Caenorhabditis elegans: one gene and its partners. The protein of the gene in region 1 purifies or fractionates together with the protein of each later gene. This does not show direct contact. Each region holds a gene or a part of one and is shown on either strand. Other genes may lie near its edges.

Region 1 (6,983 bases):
TTAAAAGGGCTTTGATGTTTTGATTAACCTAATTAAAAGCATATATCATCAACCTGAGGACAACGAGGCAAGAATCGAATTGCGGGGGACAAGATGAGGAGATCCTATCACCGTGTCATCTCAATCCTCGGCTGCGATGGTTTCACTTTCCACCGGTGTGGCCACAGGGGGAAAACCTTCCTGTGCGTATGTATGTGTTATTATCATCGCCTATATCATCAAGCACACATACACATATAATACACACATACACGCTCAATTCATTGAAATGTAGCGAGAATGCGAAAACTAGTTCGATGTCGTTTCAAATTCGGATCAATCTGATATCAATTATTGTTTTCTACTTGATGCCGCCGGTAGGCTTTGACACTAACGAGATAAAGGAATGTCCCCCGGAATTTTAAAGACTTTTTTCTCTTTGACAAACAGATTGACAAGGTCGGAATGTGTGTTCAAAGTTGGAGAATGTAACATAAAAAGTGCGCAATTGAAGATAAGTTGAAATAGACAGTAAATTAGTGAGTTCGAATCTTACCAACTTGTACCTATTGCAGAAGCATGTAGATTGTTTTCGTTCAATTATCACCACTTCTTGAGTACTTAGGCTGTTTATGCCAAAGTTTTCTGTATATTTCAGTACATTCTCAGTACATAGCTAATCGATAGTTATCCAAATTTAGTATTCTATCAACTGAACTGAAAAATATTTACCAAAACATGCAGAATTAGCTTCAAAAAAGGGGACTAATGTAAAACTTTTAGACATTTTTTTGAAAAATTCCTCATAAATTGGGTTTTAAGGCCATTTTGAGTCTATCGAGGGGAACAATTTCTACTTTTTCAAAAAATAAAACTTAAAAAAGCCGCCAAAGTAGAGAAATGGGGGGGGGGGGGGGGGGAGGTGCATGTCTGAAAGGGAAAATATGGTAATACTTAATAAACAAAGTTTACATGATGCGTCGACAAAAATGTTTCTAGGGATAAAAAAGTCGAATATCTAAAACCAACTCTATGAATAGGTTATGTAAACATTCGACGATCGACGGTGCAGGCCTCTGCAACTTACGCCATCTTGGTTCGTGGCAAAGGTCAAATGTAGGATTGGTAGATTTAGCTAGGCTGTCTCACACGCACTCCCGTTTGTAGTCTCTTTCTCTCTCTTGTATCATCGCCGGCACCATCTAGCAACGGGACCACGTTTATGAGACAAGAGTGTGTGAGTAATGAGTGTTTTGGAGCATACTTTCAAAGATTACACACATTCCTTTGATAAAGTGGATGAAGGAAAGGAACGGATATATTCCGAAAATAAGTAACAGATTTTTAACCAATTAATCTTGTTAGGTTTGAAATATTATATTATTTTCAACTTTTATAACTTTGTCTTTCATTTGTTATCTATCAAAGTGGTAAAAAGAAAAAGGATGGCACAAAGGATATTTGGCAATTGAACAAAAACGGAAACACTAGGAGACATGCATTCGAAATTACGTTCCGAAAGGTCACAAGTTGACGTTTAATGAGAGTTCTAAAACCATAAAAAGAGGACAATCTTCTGATCGCAAAAACGGACTCTTTGCCCAGTTTTAAAATGGTTCCAAATAAGCAATTGAATTGAAAACAAACCAACAACAGTTTTAGATCAAAGTTCATGGGGATGAACTGAGGGGGAAAAGTGCACGGATTGAGTTAATGGACGATCGAGCGAATCTATCGGAAACCGGATTTGTTCGAGATGCTGGTAACTTTTCTATCATTTAAGTGGGGGCTTTTAAATGGATTGCATCGAATTGGGTGGGAAACTTTTGGGTATTAGTCAATAGTTTTTTATTGTAAGTTTTGCTGCAAAATACAACAGTAAAACTTGAAAGTCATTTCTATTTAGAAAAAAAAACAAATCGAAAAAAGTAACAGCTGTACAAATCGATAAGAACACATGCACTGTCTGGGCAAAGGGTGAGGGCGGGAAAACAATGTCCGCAGAGAACGCATTAATTATTCACAAATAGTTTAAAAGAAAAAAAAACGAATTCTTACTAGAAATTCAACACGTTTTTTGTATTGTTTAGAGAAAAACCAAAAGGAAACGGAAACCTCTCATCTGAAGTGGTATAGTGCACTCAAGTCCGCAAAAGTGTACATGCGGACCTGACACCACATTTGACGACACCTATGCTAATTGTTGTTGTTATATTCCATTTCCAGTTTGTTCCATGTTTCACATCATATTTCTATGAACACAGTTATTTCAGATGGATTTTTTCATGAAACTTGCCAAAAGTGACGTCGGCCAGATGGCGATGAACACAGTCCGACAAAACGTGGAGGATAAAATCAAAGAATACGCGGATGCTCAACATAAAGCAGCTGGTTCAACGTCTCAAGCCAGCAATCCACAGGCACAATCGATGGTGAGTTTTGAACATTTTGAGTTTATGAAAAATTGAAAAAAAAACTTGAGCATGCACTTTCTAAAAATAAATTTAAAAAATATTTTTTCTATAGTTTTTTATAAATTTTTGTTTAAAAAACTACCACACAACGATGAGGAAAACGATGTTTTTTTAATGTGTCAAAAATGTGCTCCCAGATTATGGTTTTTTAAATTATTAAAAACCTTTACCTATTTATTTGCACAATTTTCAGTGGCCGGGACCTGTGGATAAAACCTTGAAATTTTCTATCAACTCAAAGCTTTCTACGAACTTTTCACAAGCTACATATGGTGATGGATATGCACTTGTCTACACACCAAACAACTATGTAAGCTGAAATAACATTAAAAATACACGTAGAAACTTTCCAGGTTGTTTATTTCAATAAGAATGCATCTTACATTGACGATCTGGAATATTTGTGGAAAGAATTTGACGAATCCATCACACATCTGAACAATCCTATCAACGTCATTAATGATTTGGTACCGGTTATGCTGAGAGAAAAGGAATTACAATCCGAGTGCTCAGCAGTATATTTTGCGATTTTTTCTGGATTTTCAAATTATGTTAAGGAGGAGAAAAAGAAAGAAGGAGATGGGTAGGTTACTGTCAAATCAAGTTTTATTGAGTTAACAAAAACTGAACCGTTTCAGCTTCTCAATGTCAAAACTAAATAGAAGAGGTGATACTCCCGTTCATGTTGCCGCTCGATTTGCATCTCTTAGTTTACTTCAAATGGTCTGGGACAAATATTTCGATCCATTGACAATGAATCATAATGGTCAGACAATTTTGCAAGTTGCACGTCATCGTCCAGAAATTGTAAAGGTGAATATTTATTAAAATAAAAGATACGAGGTGGAAAAATGTGTCTTGGGGGGATTTTGCTGAAAATTACAAAACAAATGCCTTAATAGACATTAATAGGCGTTATATCAATAAATGAAAACTATAGAAATTGGTTAAGTCTGACGAAAAAAGCTTGCATATGGGTGGGACTCACTGAAAAATTAAAATCCGTACAGATGAAAACTGTGCTCCGGATCATTTTGCTGGATGATTTTTGCAGCTTCAATTTGTATACAAGTTTTTCCGATTCTATATTTTGAAAAAAAAAATGCTTCAATGTAAGAACAAATTTGGAAAACAATATATTTTTGCAGTACATCAACAGTCATGTTACCGGAGAAGTATGCGACAAAATGATCATAACCGCAGAAACTCATCCCAAGCCCGAAACTCCCGATTACCCGCGATCTTTTGAGAAAATTCTAGGTGAATACCAAAAATTACAACATTTTCTTTATCAACATATTCAGAATACTCAATCAAAAATAACTTGCCACATTGCTTATTGTCACCGGCAGATGTTCTCAACAAATCATCATTTTCACTGAGAGATCTTGAATCGTAAGTTGCCACATTGATTGTATCTATCTTATTAGTACCGTTTTTCAGAGTGCTGAGAATTCTCTACGTGCAAGACTCGGACTTTTTGGGGAGACTTTTGAACTCGAAGAATGTGTTTCACACATTTGACAATTTCGTGAAAGATGTTTGTTGAAATGACTATATTGTTTTTATTAATCAAATTTCCAGCACCAAAAGTTGATGCTCAGTTTTGCCAAAGCTGAAATGATAAACGCTCAAGATTTGAACGGACTCACACCAATGCATTATATAGGTAAACTGAACTACATTTAAATGGCAACTCGTAACTTTTTCAGCAAAAAATGGAAACCTAAGCACAATCATACTTCTTTGGTCGCACGGCGCGAATGTTAATATGCTTGATAACAAAGGAATGTCTCCAATGGATTATGCTCTTGAAAGAGATGACGTCGATATTGTAAAAGCATTTCTGGCGTTTGATGGACATTCCACCGACCGAATTTTGAAAGCTGCACTAAATTCCAGACGTAAATGTGCAGAAGTTCTGCAAAAACACTTCAAAGCACTTGAAGAAGGAAAAGAGAAAAATATTAAATACAATCTGGGTAACTTTGATATGTTTCTATTCGCTTTATAACATTCTGCGTCTTTCAGAAAACCCTTCTCATCGTCGTTGCCAAAACTTCCCGCCATTGACCAAGAAAGATTCAGTCATTTTGTCTATTGACGGAGGTGGTATGAAAGGAATTCTGGCTCTTCAGCTTTTGAAGGAGATCGAAAAGGTTGTTGGAAATAAATTCTTGCGCTGGTTCAATCATATCGGTGGAACATCAACTGGATCAATGATCACTCTTGGATTGGTCAAGTACGGAAATATTGACCATGTCATCAGACAATATTTCAGAATGAAAGTAGGAAAATGAACATTGAGAAAAGCGATTATGATATGGAAGATCAGGTGCTAGTTGCAATATCTTATTTTTTCAGGATGATATTTTCATTGGATCCAGACCATACTCTGGCGAAGGTCTGGAAAATGCTCTTCTAAATGAATTTGGAAGAGATACGCTCCAGCAACTCGGTGAGAAGAATGGTATTCGCATCAGTATCCCGGTTGCTCGAGTCGATATCAGCCCTCCGCTACTCTACATGTTCCGCAGTTATAACATCAGAGACCCGTCATTTGATCAAGCTGGCATGAAGCCTGTCTGGGCAGCTGCAAAAGTTGTTAGGGCTTCTTCGTGAGTCACAGCTGGACAGAAATGCACTTTTTGATTCGTATTTTTCAGAGCGGCGCCATCATTCTTCCCACCTGTTGATGGAAAGTTTATGGACGGAGGACTAATCGCTAATAATCCAGCTGTTGACATTCTTACTGATTGTCAACGCCTGGAATATGAGAGAAACGAGCGTAATGTGTCAAAGATCATGGTTTCAATTGGAACTGGGTCGATGCAAAAGAAAATTGAGAATGTTGACTTGATGAAGCCAACAACAATGGGTGGAATTGTGAACACGTTCAACCAGATTCTTCACTTAAAAGACGTCTTTATTGAGCAGGTGAGTTGCAAGCAATTCTTTTCAGATAAAAATGGCCAATAAAGTTTGAAGTTTTGCGCAGATCAATAAGTCTGTCAATGTAATTCAATCAAAGTTGTCAAAAAGTTTGTGTGCTCACTATTAGGCAACTCAATAGCAGAAAAGCCCAACTACGTTAATTTTAATCACCGGTGCCTTTCATAATTAGCAACGAACGTGAATGTTTCTTGAAAACATCTCAATTTATTCTCATATTGAAAACGCATCCTGAAAAGAGTTTTGACTTATTAGTTTGAACCAAAAATGGTTGTTTCAAATTCTAGTTTGAAGTGTGATTTCGGTGCTAAAATAGTTACATGGACTAATTTGACAAGTTTTCTTCGTAAATCTAAAGCTTCGTTCAAAACATGAGTGTATATGACTTACACTCGATAAACCGGAACTGTTATTTCTTAATTTTTTGTTAATTTTGTTTTCTATTTCCAATATTTTTTCTTTCTAGAATGGATTAACAACCTTTTCGGGGAAAACATCTAATTATATTGTCACCTTTCATTTTTCCACACTTTCAGCTCACAGCAGCTGATGGAGTAACCGTCGAACGGGCTCGTTGGATGGCTGAAGCCATGGGAATGGCTTTCTTCCGTTTCACTCCAAACCTTGAATTCCCAGTTGCTATTGACGAGAAGGATGATAGTGCGTTGCTGGATGCAATGCTCGCTGTCAAGGTAACCTAATGGATGACAATTTGATTCATTATGTATTGACTTTTTGCAGTATGAAGCTGTCGCAATGCGAAATGAGATGTACATGCTTTCTTCGATTCTCAAATAATTTGAGCCCTCTCGCAGATATTCAATAATCTATTAGTTTTGCTTTTCTCATATGTGAGAATACACATAAGTTCATAATTTTGTATACATTCTAAGTCTCAGTTGTGAAAAATCATTCCGTCATAATACATAGAAGTCTATTTGAACCGAGTAAATATTTTTTCAAGCTTTGTCGTATTTCCATTTTTGTTTATCTTCTCTGTCTTTTACTAGAGGTAAAAATCCATCAAGAAGTATTTTCGTTCAGTGCCACTCAGCTTTTTTTTATAATAATGTTTTTCTCTCAACCAAAGAATCAGTGAAGAGAATTTGCTCCTTTGATCTTATACAAAGAAAAAATAGCATCTGTCATATACATACGTATCTAGTCTGCACTTTTTTTCGTTCAATAAAACCAACTTTGCCGTTTTCCTTATTGTTGCCCAGACTACCAAGTACATGTGCGCAGCAGCGGCAGCCACACTTTTCCGATTAGTAGGTTTAATTTGATCAGTCTGATTTTTTGAATCAGAATGATAAAACGAAATTACTTTATCAGAATATCAATAAAGAATGTGTAAACTTCCGTTTTACAACTTACTATCACACGTATCATAGCTCCACAGCCACTCCACTTGTGACTTTCGGACGAATAATGTTTTCATTTTTCAAACATTTGAAGTTGTATTCTTTTGGTCTCTGATTTCTTGACTGTATGGCAACGATTCCCACCACCACCTCCCATTCTTTGATTGTTATCTGCGGTCTCTCGTTCTCTCTCTCTCTCTCTGTCGAGTACATT
Region 2 (4,256 bases), on another chromosome or scaffold:
CCAATTCTCAGGTTCATGAGTCACTTGTCCAGACAAACCGTTGTTTTTCTTTTTTTTTCCCGAAGGGCTATCACGAGAACCTATGTTCAAAAATTCAGCTGTGGCTCATAAAAAAATTTGAATTCCGTTTCAGTACAAGAGCTTCAGCTTCTCATTTTTTCAATCAATTGTTAATTGCTCAAAAATTTTCGCAATGGAAGATGAAATGGATATTACCAATCAAACATTATATGCCCTGTTGCCGGTTTGTTCAAGTTATTTGCCAAAATTTACCACATTTCCAAAAAAGCTAAAACAAAGATTTTCAGATCTCATTTCTCGGTTCAATTCTGAATTGGACAATTTTCTACGCGATTCAACGATTGGAATGTTTCAATCACTCTTTTGGATTTCTCTCTGCAAATCAAGCTCTCGTAGATGGTCTTCACTCAACCACTTTCTTATTGTACTTTTGTCCAATGGTCCTTTTGTAAGTTTTAAAAGTTCTTCTTAAAACTATAGACAAAGTTTGTTTCAGGGACAATGCTATAATGAAAGAAATGTCCCATCACTGCGGATTCGTGCTTCTTCTTTGCTATGAGCTCTCCGTAATGATTCACCTAGCAATATCACTCAACAGATTCTGCGCGGTCTGGATTCCTTATCAATATCATAATATTTTCAATGAGAAAAACTCAAAAATTTTAATAATTTTAATTTGGTTATTTACTGGGTCAGTGGCCATATACCTTTATGAAAGTGAGTACTTTTTTTTTCAATTTGATGCTTTATTATGTAATTTTCTGTGTTATAGTTTTATGCCATATCTACTACGAAGACAAGTCGGATTTTCTCACATTCACCGATTCTAAGCTGTGTGCAAACATTGGCTGGTATGGAGATTTTGTCAAAAACGCGTGTATTGTTGCAGTAATAATGCTCATTGATATATTAACAGTTATTAAAGTCAGACGAATGTCTAGAAAGGTATGACAACAATTATTTTATTTCAAAAAAGCAAAATATTTAGATCTCCGTAAATATAACTGAACAGGCGCAAAACAAATTGTCCTCTAGAGAAATGCGATTTCTCAAGCAGACAGTGACACAAGGCTCCGTGTTCTTGCTTGAGCTTCTCACCTACTTTTTTATTCCCCAATATTTTTCCAACAAGTGGATCGTGTTTTTTGGCACGTCATTTGCCTGGGTAGCTGTGCACGCAGTGGATGGGTATTTTTTTAGAAACATTTTAAATTCTTTTTGTGCTGATTTTTAGATTGGTGGTTGTAATATTTAATCCAGAAGTTCGGAAGTTCCTGTTGTGCAAAGAAACGAAAAAACGAGTATCGTCGATGAATCGGATCAGTAGCTGAACACCATCTAAAAGTTCCAGTTTTTTTTTGAATAAAACTTTTCTCTGATGTCCCACGAATTGTTACAATTTTTGTATTCCGTAAATTATCATTCATTTATGTTTCTAATTGTAAGGGTACGTTGTCTATTTGTTATTAATATCTGAAAATAAATCAAGATATAACTTTTCAATATCAAGTAGTGGGGTACAATACTAATAGAGAATCTGACCTGAACCCTATGTCTGCCATATATTTTTTTAAAGCTTTTTTTGAATGAAAAGATTAGACACAAATTATTTTAATTTCTCCAACTTTATCCTGGTTATTCTGTTTTTGATTTTTAGTCGATTTTGGACTCACGAGATGTCGAATGCTTTTTATAGGAATAACTAACAAATTAACGCTGTAAGCTATAACAAGTTGTAAGTTAACGGGACTCATTTCGGTACTTGTATAGGACACATTAAACTTTAATTTTACGTTTTCAAAAATGAAAACGTGTGGAGCCTAAGCTTCATGTCATACTATTCCTCTTTTCATCCCAAATCAAAACTTCAAATCTCCCTTACTACTACATGGATAACCATCTACACCATTTTGCCACAGTTTTTTTCGTCTACAACCGCTTCTTTATGTCTGTTGGAATTTACTGTCAAAAATGTATCGAATGCGATTTCGACTTCTTATTTTCTCAGCGTCTGTAACTATAGTATTTCTTTATTTGATAAGCTCAATTTTCAGTGTCTTACAAAACACTACAGTTTATTCATGTGTAGGTTATTCTAAAATTAAGAACTTATTCAAAAATTTCCAAATCGGAAATTTCAGCAAATCCCGTTGGAAGGAAAAGATCCGATGATATATGGATATCTTTGTGCAGTTGATAAATGTGTTTATGATCTATTTGAGGAGACGAACAAAGACAAATTTGAAACAATGTGGAGAAAATTGCCAGAATCTTTAAATTGGTGCTCGACGAATGCTCAGATGAGCGTGATAAGATTCACGTTGAGAAGTGAAATGACAATGTTCAAAGTGAAAAATATGATAGAAGTAATTTTTAAAATTTATAAAATTTATGTAAAATTAATTCTCTATTAATACATATTATAAATTTTCAGAAGAGTAAAGCAAAATTCACAGAGACATGTACCGCCGTTGTCGTTTCATTTGACGGTGACTCTTCCCTCCGAGATCTGGATCTTGATGTGAGTTTTATAGAATTACAAATGAAAATGATTATCAACTGAAATATTCCAGAAAATTCTAAAATCCTGCACAATTCATCACTTGAAATTTTCGTCTTTGAAAGCTGAAGGTTTGGCAAACTCGCTGAAACGTATCAGCTCGGTGATCGATGTTTTGATAGTGGGACCTTCCAAAGGATCTTCTCACCTTTTGTTTCAACAGTTTTTGGGAGACTATTACGATTTTCTTCCTCCAGTTTGTCAGGTAATTTTGAATACTTTGGTACGGTGAGAATTTAAAAATCAAGAAAATAGATCAATATACCAACTATCAAAGTTTTCCGAACTTGGTAAATCGCCGCCAACAACTCTTGCCACTTTCTAACTGCCATTTACAAAAATTGGACATATAGTTGGTTGAATTGGGCAGCGTTTTCATGCTCTGAACAACTGGAATAGTTGGTAAAAGTTGGTGAAAGTTGGTTAAGAAGCGGGTAAAGTCTAAAAAAAATTTTTTTCGATTTTTTTTAAATTTTAAAAATCCAGTTTTATGGCTGATAGAAGTTTTTAATCAATATAAAAATCAACAAATTCAGTTTCAAAATAAATATAACTTGACTGAACACTGACTGAACAGAAAATTAACCGCTAAAAAATTAGAATGTTCAAGGTCAGACTGATGACATTCCATATTGCATGACCATTCTAAATACGTGATGAACTATACAATGGATGATCAATTTCTCAATTTTCAGGTGAACTTTGCGCATACCTTACCCCGCTCTCGTGAAGAAAACGGATTTGTCGAGTCAATGCAACGTCTGAGAATGGAGAAAAAGTTCATGCTCATGGGAGCAAGTAAAGACCGAACAGATATGCATTTGAACTTATTTTTCGAAAATATGGATCAAAAGTATTGCAGAGAACGATACTTTCGGTATCTTTCGTATTTCTAAATTTTTGAATGAAACGCTTTACACTGACCCTTTAGTTTCCGTGTCCAAGACAGAAAATTTGGGCAGATGACGGAAATGATGAGAAGTTGGAATTTGAAAAAAAGGGGGTAAGGCAAATAAACTGGTTTGCTATTTCCACGATTTATGATCAGAAAATACGGAAAAAAAATGAAAAAGTAAACATAGGGCATGTGATATATGTAGACTTATATGTCTTTTTAATGATGCCCATAAATTGGCAGGACATATTGTTGATGACTAGAACTTGATGGAAATGACGTGCCTGGAAGTTATATTGTTATTTTCTTGAAATCAGGACAAATGAATTAAAAATTGAATCGGGAAAGTTTTATGAGTAAAAGCTGTGTAGTTTTCTAAAAAAATTGCCGATTAGCCGTTTGCCGGAAATCAATTTGCCGGCAGTTTTAGAGGGATTTTTTTATAATACGGAAACTGTGCCTTTTTGAAATTTGTTTTTCGTTTTTTCTAGATATTTTCATAGAATTTGTGTGCTTTTCAAAACAGATGTAGGATCATTTATAGGATACGTATAATTTTTAAAATTTAAATTCTGAAATTTCCAAGAAAAAAGTGCAAAACCACAATTTGCCGGCTATTTTTTCGGCAATTGCTGTTTTTTCGAAATCTTGGGCAAATCGGAATTCCGATTTGCCGGAATTTTTCAATTTCCGCAATTTACCGATTTGCCCATTTGCTGGAAAAAACCGTTGGTCGCCTACCCCTGTTTCAAACATCAAAAACCCCGAAAAAATTTTCTT
Region 3 (4,704 bases), on another chromosome or scaffold:
GCTGGATTGGCAGAAGAGTACGACCTGGAAGCAACCGACGATTTATGGTAATTTTTAAAATTGTGGCCGACATTATCTCTGCAGGTTATGACTAACCTGATTCGCGACCTCTGGATTCTTGGAATAGCAATTCGGGGAGCACTTAACACACACAAGATGACTGTCTTCAGATGTTGTAACCGAGAACACTTTCACCTCAGGATGCACACGATCCCTAACCACCAGCTGAACAGGCTCGTCATGACAATCACGAACACTTTCCAGATCCTTCTCCGGATCAGATTTCAGCTCGATCCGATAGGTGGCTCCTTTGTCTGGCGGGTGGAATGCCAATTTCCGGATGATTTCCGATGGGATGGGTGGGCATGCGACGTAGCATAGAAGGCCAATGGAGCGGACGATCTCATGGAGCTGGTCACAGATTCCGGGGGAAGGTTCGTCCTGGAAATTATTGATTTTTAAAACCAGACATCTGATGGGTTCCAAAGAAGATGCTATAAGTTTTGGCAAAGCCCCGATTAGTTTGGCAGCCGACACCTCGCGAGTTTAAAATTTAAACTGAAATCATCTTGAGACCGCCTAAAACTTGCAACCGACTCGAGCAGCCGACACTTTATGGGACATTATGGACCCGAATTATTTTTAGCAAAGAAAAAAAACAATTTTAATGTGAAAAAAGATTTGTATTATGAAATTGAGAATTTCCCAAAAATAGCAGCCGACAACTCGTGGGACTAAGCATGACTCAAGCAGCCAACAAATACCGACTGAAAATTAACTTACCTCTTCGAGACGTAGCATGACGAGATGGGAAACGAAATTAAACGATGATTGAAAAAAGTGTTGTTTTTGTTTTGTGAGCAAGTGTAAATAACAACAAAAACGTGGAATGACGTGGATTTTTTATTGATTTTTTTTCATCGAAAAATTGAAAATGGAATTAAGAGGATATGTGTGACCCGTCGTGGAAAATTGTTAGAGAAAATATACAAAATTTAGAAATGTCTTCGTTTTCTGGTGCCCGCGGCGCTAACCGGGCAGGTTTGTGATGCTCCGGAAAGGATCGAGTTGCGGTACTTCTGGAAGAGTGGGCGGATGAAGTCGTTGGTGGCTCCGTCCCAGGCTCTGAAAATAATTCGTATTTTTGCTAGGCTGTTCAGCGGCCGACACCTAACGGGTCTGGAAAAAAACTCACTTTTGTCGGTTTCCAAGTACTTCCTTGTTCTTCTCGGTCTCCTCCTCGATCTTGTTGTAACGTGAGTCGGAAATCAGCTTCAAGGAGATACTCATGGCTTCTAAATATAAAATTTTAATATAAAATTTTATTAAAAAAGCTTGAACGAACCTTCAACAACTGCTCTGACATGTTTTGGAAGATCTGCATCGTTCTGTCCACATCGGGCCATGGCCTGCTGAAGGATTGATACCCAGACCTAAATATATTCAAAAAATTAGGCTAAAAATAGAAATCTTCTGTCAAAATTTACCTTATCATCTTCATCAATGCTCTCATGAATCGTGTTGAAAGCTGGGAATGGGCGTTTTGCCTGTTGCACACTGTTCGGGAGACCAGCGGCCCGGAATGGTTGGGATTCAACAGCAGAGACCGCAGGTGGGTTTGGCATGAATCTGGAAGTTTGATCGTAAGTTTTGAAAAAGAGGACCAGGAAAGTGTTGGCTGCAGCTTCGACTAATTCCCGTGAGCTGTCGGCTGCAGCAATTATCTGAGCACCCCATAATCTATCAGCTGTGTTTTTAGTAGCCTGCCGAATGTCGGCTGCACCTTTGTTACAAGGTCTACTAAAAGCCAGTTTCAGACTATTTTCAAGCCCGTGAGATGTCCGCGGCTTTCTCAGTTTTTCATGTGTCGACTGGTTCCTAAAGATAGCAACCGACACCTGGCGGGCCGCTAATCAAAAAAACCCCAAAACTCACTCAGTCGGTCTAAACTCAGTTGGAGTCGGGACCTGCACAATATGAGCATTCGAGTAAGCTGCCACAATGACCTCAATCATTCCTTCCAGCCCAAGTGCATATCTTCCTGTCTTGAAATGCCCAATATTCCGTTCAAATGCAGATTTCAACGTGTCCTTCGAGATCTTGGCATCTCTACCAGCAACTGTGAACACTTGACGATCTTGTCTAGAATTCACGATGAGCACTGTAGTGTCGCACATTCCAACGTCCTGAAATTTGAAATTATATACAGGAACATTTAAGAATTAAAAGCAGTTTCAGAAGACATACCTGGAAGTTTTGGTATCTTCTTTTCAAGTTATTGGCGAATTTTTCAATGTCAACTGGAACACCTGGTACACTTCCGATTTTGTCGATTATCGCGACAATTATCTGAAAAATAAGTGATTTAGCTTGGCAAGCTTCTGCCAAAGGTTGGAATCTTTCTGACGCAAGTTCGAAAAAAAAATTTGGCCAGGCTTTGGACTGTTTCATTTTTCGTTTTTTAAATCTTTTTCTGCTCTGCCCGGCCTAAGCCTAAGCCTAAGCCTAGGCCTAAGGCTAAGCCTGAACCTAAGCCGGAGCCTAAACCTAAGTCTACGGTTAAGCCTAAGCCTAAGCCTAAGCCTAGGTCTAGGCTTAAACCGGATTAAAAATTTTCGGAAACTGTTGACTTTCTGGCGCATTTCTACCAACTTCAACATTGTCCAACTCAGTAACTCACCTCCAAATTCCTATCAGGCATCAATGCACATGACGGAGAAGTATTCTTAATTCCAGAAGTCAACGAATGCAATTGATTAACCCTCTGCACCAATCGACTTCTCTCCTCATCGGAAACGATAGCCGACGGATCACAGACTTGCGATGGAAGTGCCAACCGACATGAAAATGGATCTAATCGAGGATCTGGGTAGGTTTGCGATGTGAATTGTGCGACTATGGAGGAGATGAAGAAGAATGGGAAGAGAATTAGGATAGGGTCCAGTTTGGGATGCATTCTGTAATGAAATTTGAAATTTTAGAGGTATGATTCCACAAAAACGGCAAAAAAAAACAAAAATTTTGAAGAGCGGCTTAGGATTTTTTATAACAGTTTCTTTAGAAAACTGAGAAAACTGGAAATTGTTAAAAGAATATTTGACCGAAAACAGGTAAATAAAAATTAAAACTTCAAACTACAAACTACAAACTACAATGACCACAAACTATGTATATTTTTGAACAATTTCTATTGAACATTTCTAACAAGTATTTAAGTATACGAATACAAAACTTTAAACAAAAAAAAGCTGCATACTTTCAAACTACCTGCTAAAACTACGGACTACAAACTACAAGCTACAAACTACAAACTACAAACTACCTATTGCCAAAAATAATTTTTTTCCAATATTTTGGAAATTTTCGAAAAGTTAGACTTCGACAGTTTTGAAAATCTTAAAATGCTTGAAATTGTTGATTTTGAAATTCAATACAATTAAAAATAATTTATACGGAGAAAATATCAAAAAATAGGCGGTAGGCAGGCACTTAGGCATGTCAGCCTTACGGAAATAGTGAATGAATAAAAAGTGTGTGACTCTCGCCGAGATTCACCAAAAGCCACAAGTCACACAAGAATGCTATTCAAGTGGTTTTTGTGAGTTTCAGACGTCTCTATATATATACAATTATATACAGTTACAGTTTACACATGCATACATTACCAAGTAAACTACGAGAAAATTCTAGAAGCTTTCATTTTGAATGGGGGGGGGGGAGGGGAGAATAAACAAAGTGTCTATGTTTCTGAGGACTGTAAACCACTTATGCAAATGCTTAAGAAACAAACTCGCTTGGTTTTGTAACGTTTTGTAAAGTTTTGGAGGAAATTCAAGGGAAATGTAGTTGTAGTAGGTACACTGTAATAAATTAAGGCTGAAAACTGACAGCTGTAGTAGTTTTTTTTTTGGAATTTTCCAAAGATTTTGATTTCAGCTTATAGAAAATTTTATGCTGATCATTTTTGCCTCTTGCCACTTTTTTGTATCTTTTACAGTTAAAAAGTTACACACAGTTTAGCGAGAGCAAAGCTAGAGAGTGTGAAGGGAGGGGAGACGCCGACGACGAGGCGCCCTGCGTCTCTCTCCTCTCCACACTCTCTAGCCCATTGGACTAAAAAGGCTTGTATCTCAGGAACAGTAAGGTCTAGAAAGAAGTTTTCAAATGAAAAAATGCTGGAAATTGTTCGGGGATTTTTAATTTTTTTTTAAGCAAGGAAAAAGAAGCCAATTCTACACAATAATCATTGATCTACTAAAAGTTATGAATGTTGCATAATCTCCAGCCGATAATCTCCCTATAAAGTCGCAAAAAAAGTTGCCAAAAATCTTGAGAGACCTGTTGAAAAGTGTTCAAAAGTGGGCAATGAAGAAGAAGTCAAAGCAACAATCGTCTGCCTGTCGGATAATAAGCTTCACCGGACGGGGGTATCTTCTTCTTCGTCTCCCCTCTTCCCCCTCCTCAGAGGAACCGGCTGATGCCCCCTCTCAACACGCCGAACCAGATCCGAAGACCGTCTGCGTCTCCGGTGGCTTTATCGTTCGCCTCGTTGTTGCCTCCTGGGTGTGTGTGTGTGAACCTATCTCTTCTTCACCCGACGTTCGATTTTCAACAAATGATCACTTCCACCCCCAGATATATATTATAAGCATTTTTATTTATGACTCTCGCTTTCTCGAGGAGAAATTGGAAATTAAATAATTA

Evidence for each region.
Region 2: the proteins of C45B2.6 (region 1) and K09D9.9 fractionate together in Caenorhabditis elegans (co-fractionation; one large-scale study listed by BioGRID). This does not show direct contact.
Region 3: the proteins of C45B2.6 (region 1) and F01D5.6 fractionate together in Caenorhabditis elegans (co-fractionation; one large-scale study listed by BioGRID). This does not show direct contact.

The regions. Positions count from the first base shown.
Region 1 is NC_003284.9:6,050,806-6,057,788, forward strand, and holds C45B2.6 (phospholipase A2), read left to right. Parts: upstream 1-2,252; 5' UTR 2,253-2,294; coding exon 2,295-2,411; intron 2,412-2,646; coding exon 2,647-2,763; intron 2,764-2,806; coding exon 2,807-3,036; intron 3,037-3,091; coding exon 3,092-3,266; intron 3,267-3,601; coding exon 3,602-3,713; intron 3,714-3,757; coding exon 3,758-3,848; intron 3,849-3,896; coding exon 3,897-3,993; intron 3,994-4,037; coding exon 4,038-4,122; intron 4,123-4,165; coding exon 4,166-4,435; intron 4,436-4,484; coding exon 4,485-4,741; intron 4,742-4,817; coding exon 4,818-5,071; intron 5,072-5,119; coding exon 5,120-5,390; intron 5,391-5,941; coding exon 5,942-6,097; intron 6,098-6,146; coding exon 6,147-6,203; 3' UTR 6,204-6,368; downstream 6,369-6,983.
Region 2 is NC_003283.11:3,991,876-3,996,131, reverse strand, and holds K09D9.9 (Usp domain-containing protein), read left to right. Parts: upstream 1-1,983; 5' UTR 1,984-1,992; coding exon 1,993-2,106; intron 2,107-2,162; coding exon 2,163-2,387; intron 2,388-2,455; coding exon 2,456-2,542; intron 2,543-2,594; coding exon 2,595-2,786; intron 2,787-3,276; coding exon 3,277-3,477; 3' UTR 3,478-3,504; downstream 3,505-4,256. Other genes in the region: srx-62 (G-protein coupled receptors family 1 profile domain-containing protein), read left to right, coding at 194-244, 309-469, 518-738, 794-966, 1,010-1,209, 1,256-1,352.
Region 3 is NC_003280.10:14,004,763-14,009,466, reverse strand, and holds F01D5.6 (TPM domain-containing protein), read right to left. Parts: upstream 2,958-4,704; 5' UTR 2,957-2,957; coding exon 2,681-2,956; intron 2,350-2,680; coding exon 2,248-2,349; intron 2,187-2,247; coding exon 1,936-2,186; intron 1,738-1,935; exon of another isoform or gene 1,632-1,737; intron 1,630-1,631; coding exon 1,488-1,629; intron 1,434-1,487; coding exon 1,346-1,433; intron 1,296-1,345; coding exon 1,196-1,295; intron 1,126-1,195; coding exon 996-1,125; 3' UTR 879-995; downstream 1-878. Other genes in the region: F01D5.7 (Serine aminopeptidase S33 domain-containing protein), read right to left, coding at 1-24, 97-441, 784-801.